Linked DNA regions of Neodiprion lecontei. The protein of the gene in region 1 purifies or fractionates together with the protein of each later gene. This does not show direct contact. Links are inferred from orthologs where the notes say so. Each region holds a gene or a part of one and is shown on either strand. Other genes may lie near its edges.

Region 1 (5,433 bases):
ACGACATCTGGTTTCAAAACAATGATGTCATCGCAAATTTTCTTTACATGTTCCTCTTCCAGTTCTAATATCCTTGTGAAGTCTGTGTCCTTTAGAATCTCAACATTTGTTTGGGATTCACCCTTTTTGTACTCCAACGGACAATCCAACAATACAATTCTTGGATTCTTAATGTAGCGCTTCATTTTTGGGTGAGTTACATCTTTGTTAACCATAACACCCTTCAATACTGTACTATCTTCAATGCTGCCACCTGAAATCTTCTCTACTTTGGCATACCGTTTGATGTCTATCTCTCGTCTGCCATTTTCTTCAAGCATAATAGTGTGGACTGCATCCAAGGCAATGTCACAAGCTAGTTCTGCCCAGCGACCGATGAATTTAGTCCCAACACATGATTTGACTACTTGTGCTAGCTTTGTTCTATCATTCCGATCCAATTCAGTGCTGACTTCATCATTCAGAATGGTTATCATATCTTCTAAAGCCTGCCTGTATGCTCTGATTATTACTGTGGGATGCATGCCTTGTTCTAAAAACGGTTCAGCAGTAGCTAAGATCTCTCCAGCTAATACAATTACCGATGTTGTCCCATCTCCGACTTCTTCATCCTGGGTTCTCGCAATTTCAATCATCGATTTACCAGCTGGATGTTGAACTGTGATTTCCCGAAGAATGGCATTTCCATCATTGGTCATTACGATCCCACCCATTGGATCCATCAGCATTTTCAGCATAGCCTGAGGCCCAAGGCATGTTCTGATAACATCAGCGATAGCCTTTGGTAATAGAAAAATGATTGAATTTATGTCTTAAATGATCTCAGTTCTAAAGCGGACTGTATATTTGCAGAGGTTGAATCTGAAAAGATATTTGCATGTTTCTCAAGCTACACGTTTCAGAATTAACCTCTCAAATGTACTTATGAAATGATCAGTGTGAAAAGTTTACAATATTACTGTTGTTCTTAAATAATTGTAATGCCTGGGATTAGCGACTAATTTTGCAATCGTCGTGATCCTGAATTCGAAGCATCACTTGCTACATATCCATTTGATTTGTGTAAAATTTACTAGTATAACTATATTAAACAGTATAATCAAGAAAACGGTCATAATTATTGACCGTTAGATCAGGTTAGGTAGCGGGGAATTATTCGATTTCTATTTCATGCTGAAAATTGATGACGAAAATGCACGTGGGTGTGCCGACGAAGCAGGACCGTATAAGGAGAATTTACTGGTCATGTGTGTGGCGGGTGTGTTTGTACCTTGCCGGCTTGGATGTTTTCACGTTGAACTTTCTTGCCCGCATCTCGCTTTGTGTTTTGGCCTGCAATTATAAGAGACGGCATTATGCGTATGATAGCGTCGGGAAATTTTCCTAACAGTATAATAACAATTTCATTGTTTTTACACTCACTCAAAACCACAATAGGCGCTGACCCTGGACCAAACATTTTTCACTGCACACGCTGTTCGAACTTCCCAATAAATATTAAAGGCGGGCGTTCAGCTCAAGAATCTCGCGTGAGACGAACTGTTCTAGAAGAAACGTGGGTATGGTTTCAGTCATCGGATAAATCCTATGTAAGAAGAGCTAACGACCTCCCATCTGGTGTTCAAGCACGAAAGACTGGTACAAAAAAGTGAAATATCATCTGTCGTGTGTCTAACTATCCAGTCGATGAGGATCATCCGACAAGTCATATTTAAGTACGGATGCGTATTTATTCGAGATTTCAAATCTTTGACAATACGAGCACACATGATGACGCACATGATGCATACCAAAGAGGTTACAGGAATGCCCAAAATCGACTAACCGATAATCTTGCAATATGATTCGTAAAGTTTTCACTACAGTCATGTACTCCCCCCGCCCCGCCGCGCCTGGCGCAATACTCATAGAACACTAGTGCCCTCTTAATTTTGGAAACAATTTGTATACATGAAGTTCTTACTCCTTGTATAGTCTGCATGATGTATGCGGAGATTTAAAAATTCCAAAGGCATCTTTCGAATCGAACTATCGTATACTGAAAAAGTGAGAGGGAGCACATTTGACAGCTCATCAAATCGTTTGGCATAAAATGAATACTAGTCATTTAACGTGATTCATTATAAATGATTTGGTTTCATCACAATACTAATTCAATTAAACGATGACGGAAAAATTGAGGAGATATGAGAAAATTGATTTCTTGGGAGAAGGACAGGTTAGTTGGTATCATATGACACCATTTATCACGTTTTAGTTGCATTAGTAGTGATATTTTATAAATTTTTTTTTTTAATTTCAGTTTGCAACTGTGTATAAAGCTCGAGATACCGAGACCGACAGCATAGTAGCTGTGAAAAAGGTGATTTAGCAAAAAAATTACTTCTATCGGACAGGTTAACATATACAATAAATAATCATCCATCATTATTCTCCAGATCAAAGTCGGAAGCCGAGCAGAAGCCAAGGACGGAATTAATCGTACCGCCTTGCGAGAAATAAAACTCTTGCAAGAGCTTAAACACGATAATATCATTGGATTATTAGGCAAGTACTTGTTTGTTCAAATAATGTTTTTATACATCATTGAATGGCACCTATCTAATTTTTATTATAACAAATTTTCAGATGTCTTTGGTCATAAATCCAATGTGTCGTTGGTGTTTGATTTCATGGATACAGACTTGGAAGTTATAATAAAAGATAGTAACATTGTCTTAACATCAGCAAATGTGAAATCTTATATGATCCAAACCCTCCAAGGACTTGAGTATCTCCACTTCAATTGGATACTTCATAGAGACCTAAAACCCAACAATCTGCTTGTGAATAGTAGCGGCGTATTAAAAATAGGAGATTTTGGTCTCGCCAAGTTCTTTGGATCACCAAACAGAATATACACTCATCAAGTTGTTACTAGGTGGTACAGAGCACCAGAACTGCTGTATGGTGCTAGATTATATGGCACTGGCGTTGACATGTGGGCAATTGGTTGTATACTGGCTGAGTTACTGTTACGCCTCCCATTCCTCCCTGGAGAGTCAGATTTGGATCAACTAACGAGAATATTCCAGGTCCATATCATTATTCAAGTTCAGTCGAAAAATAGGGCGTTTTGATCTAAAGATACCAGTGATTCAATAAATCACATACTGTGGTTAAAAATACAACACAAATAAGTTTATGGTACAATCTTTCTTGTTGAAATATTTTTGCAGACGCTGGGTACACCAAGCGATGAAACATGGCCTGGAATGACGGATTTGCCAGATTTTATACAGTTCAAGCCATTTCCTGGTACTCCACTGAAGCATATCTTCACTGCGGCTGGAGACGATCTGTTAGATTTAATCACAAGTCTGTTAAACGTTAATCCATTGGAACGCTGTACTTGTGATCAAGCTCTACAGATGCCTTATTTTAGTAATAAACCACCACCAACGATTGGATCAAAATTGCCTCTTCCCATGACTATCAGGAAAGAACCAGAGGAAAAACCTAGTCTCAAGAGAAAATTGTTAGAATCCATGGATGGAGGATCACTAGCGAAGAGACTGCAATTCTAGCTATAAAAGATATTAGGTCTATGTGATACATTACATACTAAGGAACTCTTCTAGTTCGCCTAGTTTTGTGTTGCAAATATTCAAGGAAGTTCAAGAACTTTCACATATCCTTAAATTATAATTCATAGCTACTTCTCACATTCTTCAAAGCTATGAAACTTAGGAACAATATTGCTTTGCGTTTGTTGTAGATATTACAATAATTTACTGAACCAAAAATTCACGATTTTAGTTTGGTATTATGATGTTTGTGGTACTAGTAGAAAGTATTTGTATGTGTATGTTTAGTTTTCAATAGAGTCATTATTTCGTTAGTAACTTAAATCACTATTAAAAAATATGTTACCAGGCTGGTGACATGAAATTTAAAAAAATGTTTACACAAGTTTCCGTATGCATAATCTTCAGACAGCATTGCCACCTACATTTGGATACTTGTCATGTGGATGTACTGTGCATTTAGGGTAAACAACGTAAAACCAGCAGTATATGTGCTCTATATGAAACAACAATTACTGATAACTCGGCATAAACGTTTGTTTAAAACAACTATTAGTAATTACTGGGTGACTGTATGTAAGAAATTCAATTTGTGTTGAAGACTCAAACGATAGTCAACATCACGCTATTCCAAAGTCTAAATTAAAGAACATTTTATTTCAAATTTATACACCAAATTGATGTTATCAGCTCACTGAATTCCAATAATTCAAACAATTTTGAGACCGGCAATCGAATTCTCCAGTGTCTAAAACAGAATCGAAAAAAACTTGACCAACTGATACGGTATTTAAATATTTCAGATTAAAGGATCATAAATTAAAAGTGATACAATACCTTCAGATCCCAAATGACCAGTTGTCCGTCTAACCCACTTGTACTAAATTTGTCTTCTCGTAGTTTTCGTACACAAGTAATTGCATTCTGGTGAATACTATCCAGGGCAGTGTCTGTTGTTTCTATGCGTGCTTGGCGATCAAGCGATTGAAATTTTCGCATAGCCGAAAGTCCACCGGCTTCTTTTCTTTGAGTATTATCCAGTTTTGATGCAAAATATAATTGGCCATTATCATCCAAGGCGTAGAGCATAGGAGAACAACTATGTCCCTGAAAAATAAATATCAATTTTTTACTGTCTGCTGAAGGAAGTGAATTTTCTGACAGTTCTCTTAACCCTTTCAAAACGGTTATCCATCCCAATGGCAAGAGATTTCAAAAATTCATATGAACAGTTTCACTAATCCGATTTTTTTTTAAGGAATGTTTTTCGTCAACAGTTCCAATATCTATCTGAAAGAAAATATATTAAAGTCTGTCCTTCGTTTAAGTATATTTTCTCATCGGAAAAGTACAGCTAATTTTCGAATCTGTTTCTAATTTCATAGGCTATTGAAAATTGACTTTCTTTCTGAAGAACAAAAAATGAATGTTTCTAGCATAGTCATAAATGTCATGAATAAAAATATGTATAAGCTCAGCACCTATTAATGCAAAGTTGTAAACTTGAAAAACATTACATGTCCACTGTAATGGAAATCTGTATAACTTTCAATATGGATTTAGGAAAATTCTGTATGGATTATTATTGAAGAACTTAGTTGAGAGATACAAAATCGAAATACGCTGAAAAAAAAAATTTCTATTGCTGGATTTAATTTAGTTCTAAAAGAGTTAATTACAAAGTAATGAGTAAGCGTTTGGAACAAAAGTAAATAGGATTCAAGTCTGGTAAATATTTCATTATTATGGGCATTAGAGAAACCTATTAGAGTTCTTACTGCAGCCACGATGGAATTCGGCCCAACCCAAATGCAGCTTAAAAATGGAAGATGCTCTGTGCGTAAGCGTGTAACTGTGTTGCCTTTGG
Region 2 (4,419 bases), on another chromosome or scaffold:
GCCGAAGCTAGCAGCCAAACGTGTTTAACTTTTTAGAAATAGAGAAATATCGTTCAGTTTTATCAACATAATTCTATTAAAGTGTCGGGAGTTCGAGGTATTTAAATAAATTTAGATCTTCGTATTTCACTACCTTATCCGAACGAACATTAGAAAATTTGGCTCCTAATTCCGGCTGCTAGCTTTAGCCTTATAAACATATTGCATAATGAAATCATTCATACCTAGAGATATAAAACAATTTTACCTGAAAGTAAATTCATATAAATTACTTCAATCTTTGTTAATAGCTTTTATTCTACTGAATTAAGGATCCGGCGATGCATGCTTCTGTACCGCCGCCTCACTGTTGGTAACTTTATGAGGTACCGATGGGATCGTAACTTGTGCCAGCGGCATGCACGGCGAGCAAAGCATAGCTGACATCCAAGACGATATTGGCATCCACGGTCTATCGACTAATTGTCAGCTGCGAGGCGGGGCTGTTTTCTCCTGATCTGTACCTAGGTAGTTAGCTTCCACATCTTTAATCTCTATGTGCTGATCCTTCATAGCTTTCTGAAATTTGAAAGATGGAAAATCATTGGTTGCGAGAAAAAAGTACAGAGCTGAATTTGAAACTGAGGATTGATTAATCTTGAGGTTGACATAGTTTATCGAAGAGATTTCAAGTTTTCGTTTCTTTGCGTCCAACTCACCGCCACGCACTCTTTATAGACTTTGAGCAAGCTAGAGCACATCGAGTCGTTTCTATCGCCCTTGAGAAATTTTTCAGAGAACCAATAATTGAAACAAGCGTCGTATTTCTGTTTTAATTCACTGCATGCTTCCATGCTGACGTTCGGCTCAGTCTGGTCACGGTGACAAAAACCTATTTTGAAATAATAATAACTAAATAGTAATAAAATTACCTTTACGCACTGCTGGTAGACTTTGAACAAAGGAGCACACATGGAGTCGTTTGTTTCCCCTTTCAGGAATTTCTCAGCGAACCAGAAATGGAAACACGAGTCGTATTGCTTCTTGAACTCATTGCACGTCTCGCCAATACTGTTCATGAGGAGATCTGTGCTACTCGGACTATTTCTGAAAGCAGACCCAACCGACTCCAACACGGTACTTCCAAAGCCTTTGGCTTGCATTTTGCATTTGCTGATAGAGTATTGAATCGAATCCTTTAGAGTGAAATTACGTTTTTTACAATGTAAGTCAAAGGCTATCCTTGATAGATATTCGATATTTGGCTACAACAAATTTAGCGTTAGGTTATGCCAAATGCAAGCCACTAATTGAATATAGATGGTAATATTCATATACTCGAAAACTTGACAGATTTAATTTATTGACAAGTGCCGCAAACAAAACGAAAACAGCGTCTTTATGTCTTAAAATGACTGACGAGAATCAACATATTGAAAAATTTTAAGGTTAAAGTTTTCGAGACAGAATTTAACCTTAAATATTTTACATCATGATAATTGTAACAACTGAGACAACAGTGTTCTTTCATATAACGTTGAAGGGCCTGAATTTGAGGTTACGTTGTTCACTTTTCTTTGCGAACAGCCGAATGATTGCACGTAGGCATATTTTTTTATCAATACGGCGCAAAGACTTACCTGCGTTAATTGTTAATACGGAGCTAGATTGTCTCCTGGAACAATTTTATGTACTCTCTGATTGAATTAAAAACGCTCGTACGATGTGTCGTAAATACATAAAAAGCACCGTGGTTTTGATCGTAGAATCTGAACTGTCAAACGTCGAAGACAAGCTGAACGGACAGAGATTTTCACGAGGAGCGAATGAAGCAACTGAGTTAGTCGCGTCTGTAGCGTGCGTTAAAATATATTCAAGAATTCAGCCCATCGATTCTGCGTGCTCGACTTATCACGTTCGGAGTGATTGTGCCAGATTGTGCTGATTGTAGGGTCGAAATTTTCGGGTGCCTCGACTTTCGAGAGCCCGGCTCGTGTTTTTCATGTTTCCGAATGCTTCCGAATGTTTCCGATTAGTTTCAAAAACCAATTTCGTGTCAGATGGCGCCACGAAATTGTGTCTGCACAAAAAACGCAAAGGCTTCTCTTTGCACGTCGCGTGCGTTTTCCGGTTTTTGGTTTTGCGTCAAAAGATCCGGCGCTTTTGGGCGCTTTGGAGTATTGTTGACAAATAATGTACTTATATCTACCTACGTAATAATACCGTTCCTCAACGAGTCATTATATTTGCATACAGGGAGAAGTTTTCAGGAAAAATAAAGTCTGACATAAAATATAATCTTATCTTATGAAATGTGCGGTTAATAAAAATAGCTGCTGGGGTTAAGTTCACGTTGTTGTTTATGCTTACCCTCATTTATTCCTTGCTGGTTGAACAATAATCACTTGTCACAATGGACGACCAAATTTGTCCCCGTTGTAAAACGACCAAGTACAGAAATCCGTCGTTGAAGTTGATGGTAAACGTGTGTGGACACGCGTTATGCGAAAGTTGCGTCGATCTCTTGTTTTTGAAGGGTAATTATCGATGCTCACAGTTCCATTACATCGTTTTCCATTCTAACGCTTATTTACAAACATTCAAATACATGTTGTTATTATTTTCTCTTGTAGGCTCTGGCGCTTGTCCCGAATGTCAAATACCGTTGCGAAGAACAAATTTCAGGATCCAATTGTTCGAGGACTCGATGGTAGAAAAAGAGGTAGACATCCGCAAGAGAATACTCCGCGACTTCAACAAAAAAGAGGAGGACTTTACAACGCTGCGAGAGTACAACGATTACCTCGAGGAAATTGAAACGATAATATACAACCTGGCCAACAATATCGACGTAATAGAGACGAACAAGAGGATAGAGCAGTACAAGAAGGCGAACAAGGAACAAATTTTGAAAAGCAAGTCCAAGCTGGGCAGGGAGGAATACGAGCTTGAGGAATTGTTAGAGCTGGAAAAGCAGCAGGAGGAGGAGCGGAAATTGGAGTTGATAAAGCAGGAGGTTGAAATGAAGAAGAAAAAAATACGTGAGAAAGAGGCTCTCATCGACGAGCTAATGTTCTCAGAAGCGGACGCCGCGAACATTGTCGAGACGTTCGCGTCTACGATCCAGGCGACCAGAGAGGAAGCTAAGGTCGTGCCAGTCGCAAAAGTAACCCAATTCAGTACCGGAATAAAATTCGGCAGACAGGGTCAGCAGACATTCATGCCTGTACCGAAAGTCGAGGAAGGTCCTACCTACTGCTACAAGCGTATCGAGCAGGAAGTCGAAGGTCCGCATCCTCCTGGCTGGCAGGAAATGGAATCTGGCGGATATATCGCGCACGTCAGAAGCGAGAAGCCGGCCGAAAAAGCCGGAGGCTTTAAGTCGAACATTGCGTGTTTGAGAGCGCTTCAGGAAGCGATGGCTGGGCTGTACCACAATCCCTCGCAAAGACCTCCCGAGTCGATGGCAATCTGACCCTACGACTGGTCATAAATTGCCGACGGTCTCCCGTCAGTTTGTTAAAAACTCCTGACGATATCGACTGACTGCGATGAAAACTAGCTTATTATACCCAAATGGTGAACAGACACTCCCAGGCTCATGTAGTATCGTGTAAATAATATATTCGTGGGCTGCTTTCACAACGAATTATACATTTTGTACGGCTGTACCGCTTTCATTATATTGTAAGAAATTGTTGACAATTTAATGCTTAAAAAGATGAGGATGATAATAATAATAGTAATTATCGTTGGGTGGAAGAGTTTGTAAAAACAAAATAGAGGTATGCGATCGGTAGTTTGACGTTTATTTTCTTTGCACAATGAAAATATTAAAATAAACAGAGGCGGTAAATTAGCGAATAAGCGACGTTCCGACAAGTCAAGTGATTCGGATTCAAATCTGCCCTAGCCTCCCGGCATCGAAGTTGGTACGACGATTCGTTAACAGATGGCGCCAGCGCTGAGTGCCAATAAATTCGTGCTCGGCGGTTAAATCCGAAAGGCGCGGGGTATGTATAAGGGAAGAAATGTTACACACCGTTTATGCACGAGGTCGAGGAGTGTCGGCGGCGAAAAACACTTCGGTAGATTAATTTATTTGCATTTCATGAGTGCAGCGCACGCCTCGGACGTATTTATCGTCCGGAATCAACATTTTTACCGAATTCCAGCCGAGGTTCGCCGATCTTTGGATACAGCTTCGCGTAAATAAGGTAAGACAATTTTCAAATTTTGCGTGCAGCGGCTCCTTATTTCCCGACAAAAACTGAAGTTAGTAACGATTCATACCTCGTAATTTTAGAACTGTTTGAAATACAGTAAACCGTAATAAAACGTGACATGTACTGATATTTGCAATCATAGTTCCTTCGAAATCGTTTGTTAAAATAAGAAAACACTGATTTTTTTCTCAACGTTTCGTTACGATAACGTTGC

The links.
Region 2: the proteins of cyclin-dependent kinase 7 (region 1) and CDK-activating kinase assembly factor MAT1 purify together in Drosophila melanogaster (affinity purification with western blotting; 3 studies listed by BioGRID, with this or other methods). This does not show direct contact. The link is inferred for Neodiprion lecontei from reciprocal best matches to the Drosophila melanogaster genes Cdk7 and Mat1.

Annotation. Positions count from the first base shown.
Region 1 is NC_060265.1:21,195,708-21,201,140, forward strand, and holds cyclin-dependent kinase 7, read left to right. Parts: upstream 1-2,023; 5' UTR 2,024-2,164; coding exon 2,165-2,218; intron 2,219-2,302; coding exon 2,303-2,362; intron 2,363-2,438; coding exon 2,439-2,547; intron 2,548-2,628; coding exon 2,629-3,074; intron 3,075-3,218; coding exon 3,219-3,566; 3' UTR 3,567-4,275; coding exon of another isoform or gene 4,276-4,314; 3' UTR 4,315-4,403; coding exon of another isoform or gene 4,404-4,673; 3' UTR 4,674-4,714; downstream 4,715-5,433. Other genes in the region: T-complex protein 1 subunit gamma, read right to left, coding at 1-779, 1,271-1,332, 1,423-1,459; actin-related protein 2/3 complex subunit 1A-B, read right to left, coding at 4,276-4,314, 4,404-4,673, 5,345-5,433.
Region 2 is NC_060264.1:1,837,385-1,841,803, forward strand, and holds CDK-activating kinase assembly factor MAT1, read left to right. Parts: upstream 1-1,982; 5' UTR 1,983-2,392; coding exon 2,393-2,516; intron 2,517-2,612; coding exon 2,613-3,454; 3' UTR 3,455-3,778; downstream 3,779-4,419. Other genes in the region: TP53-regulated inhibitor of apoptosis 1-like, read right to left, coding at 466-558, 912-1,142.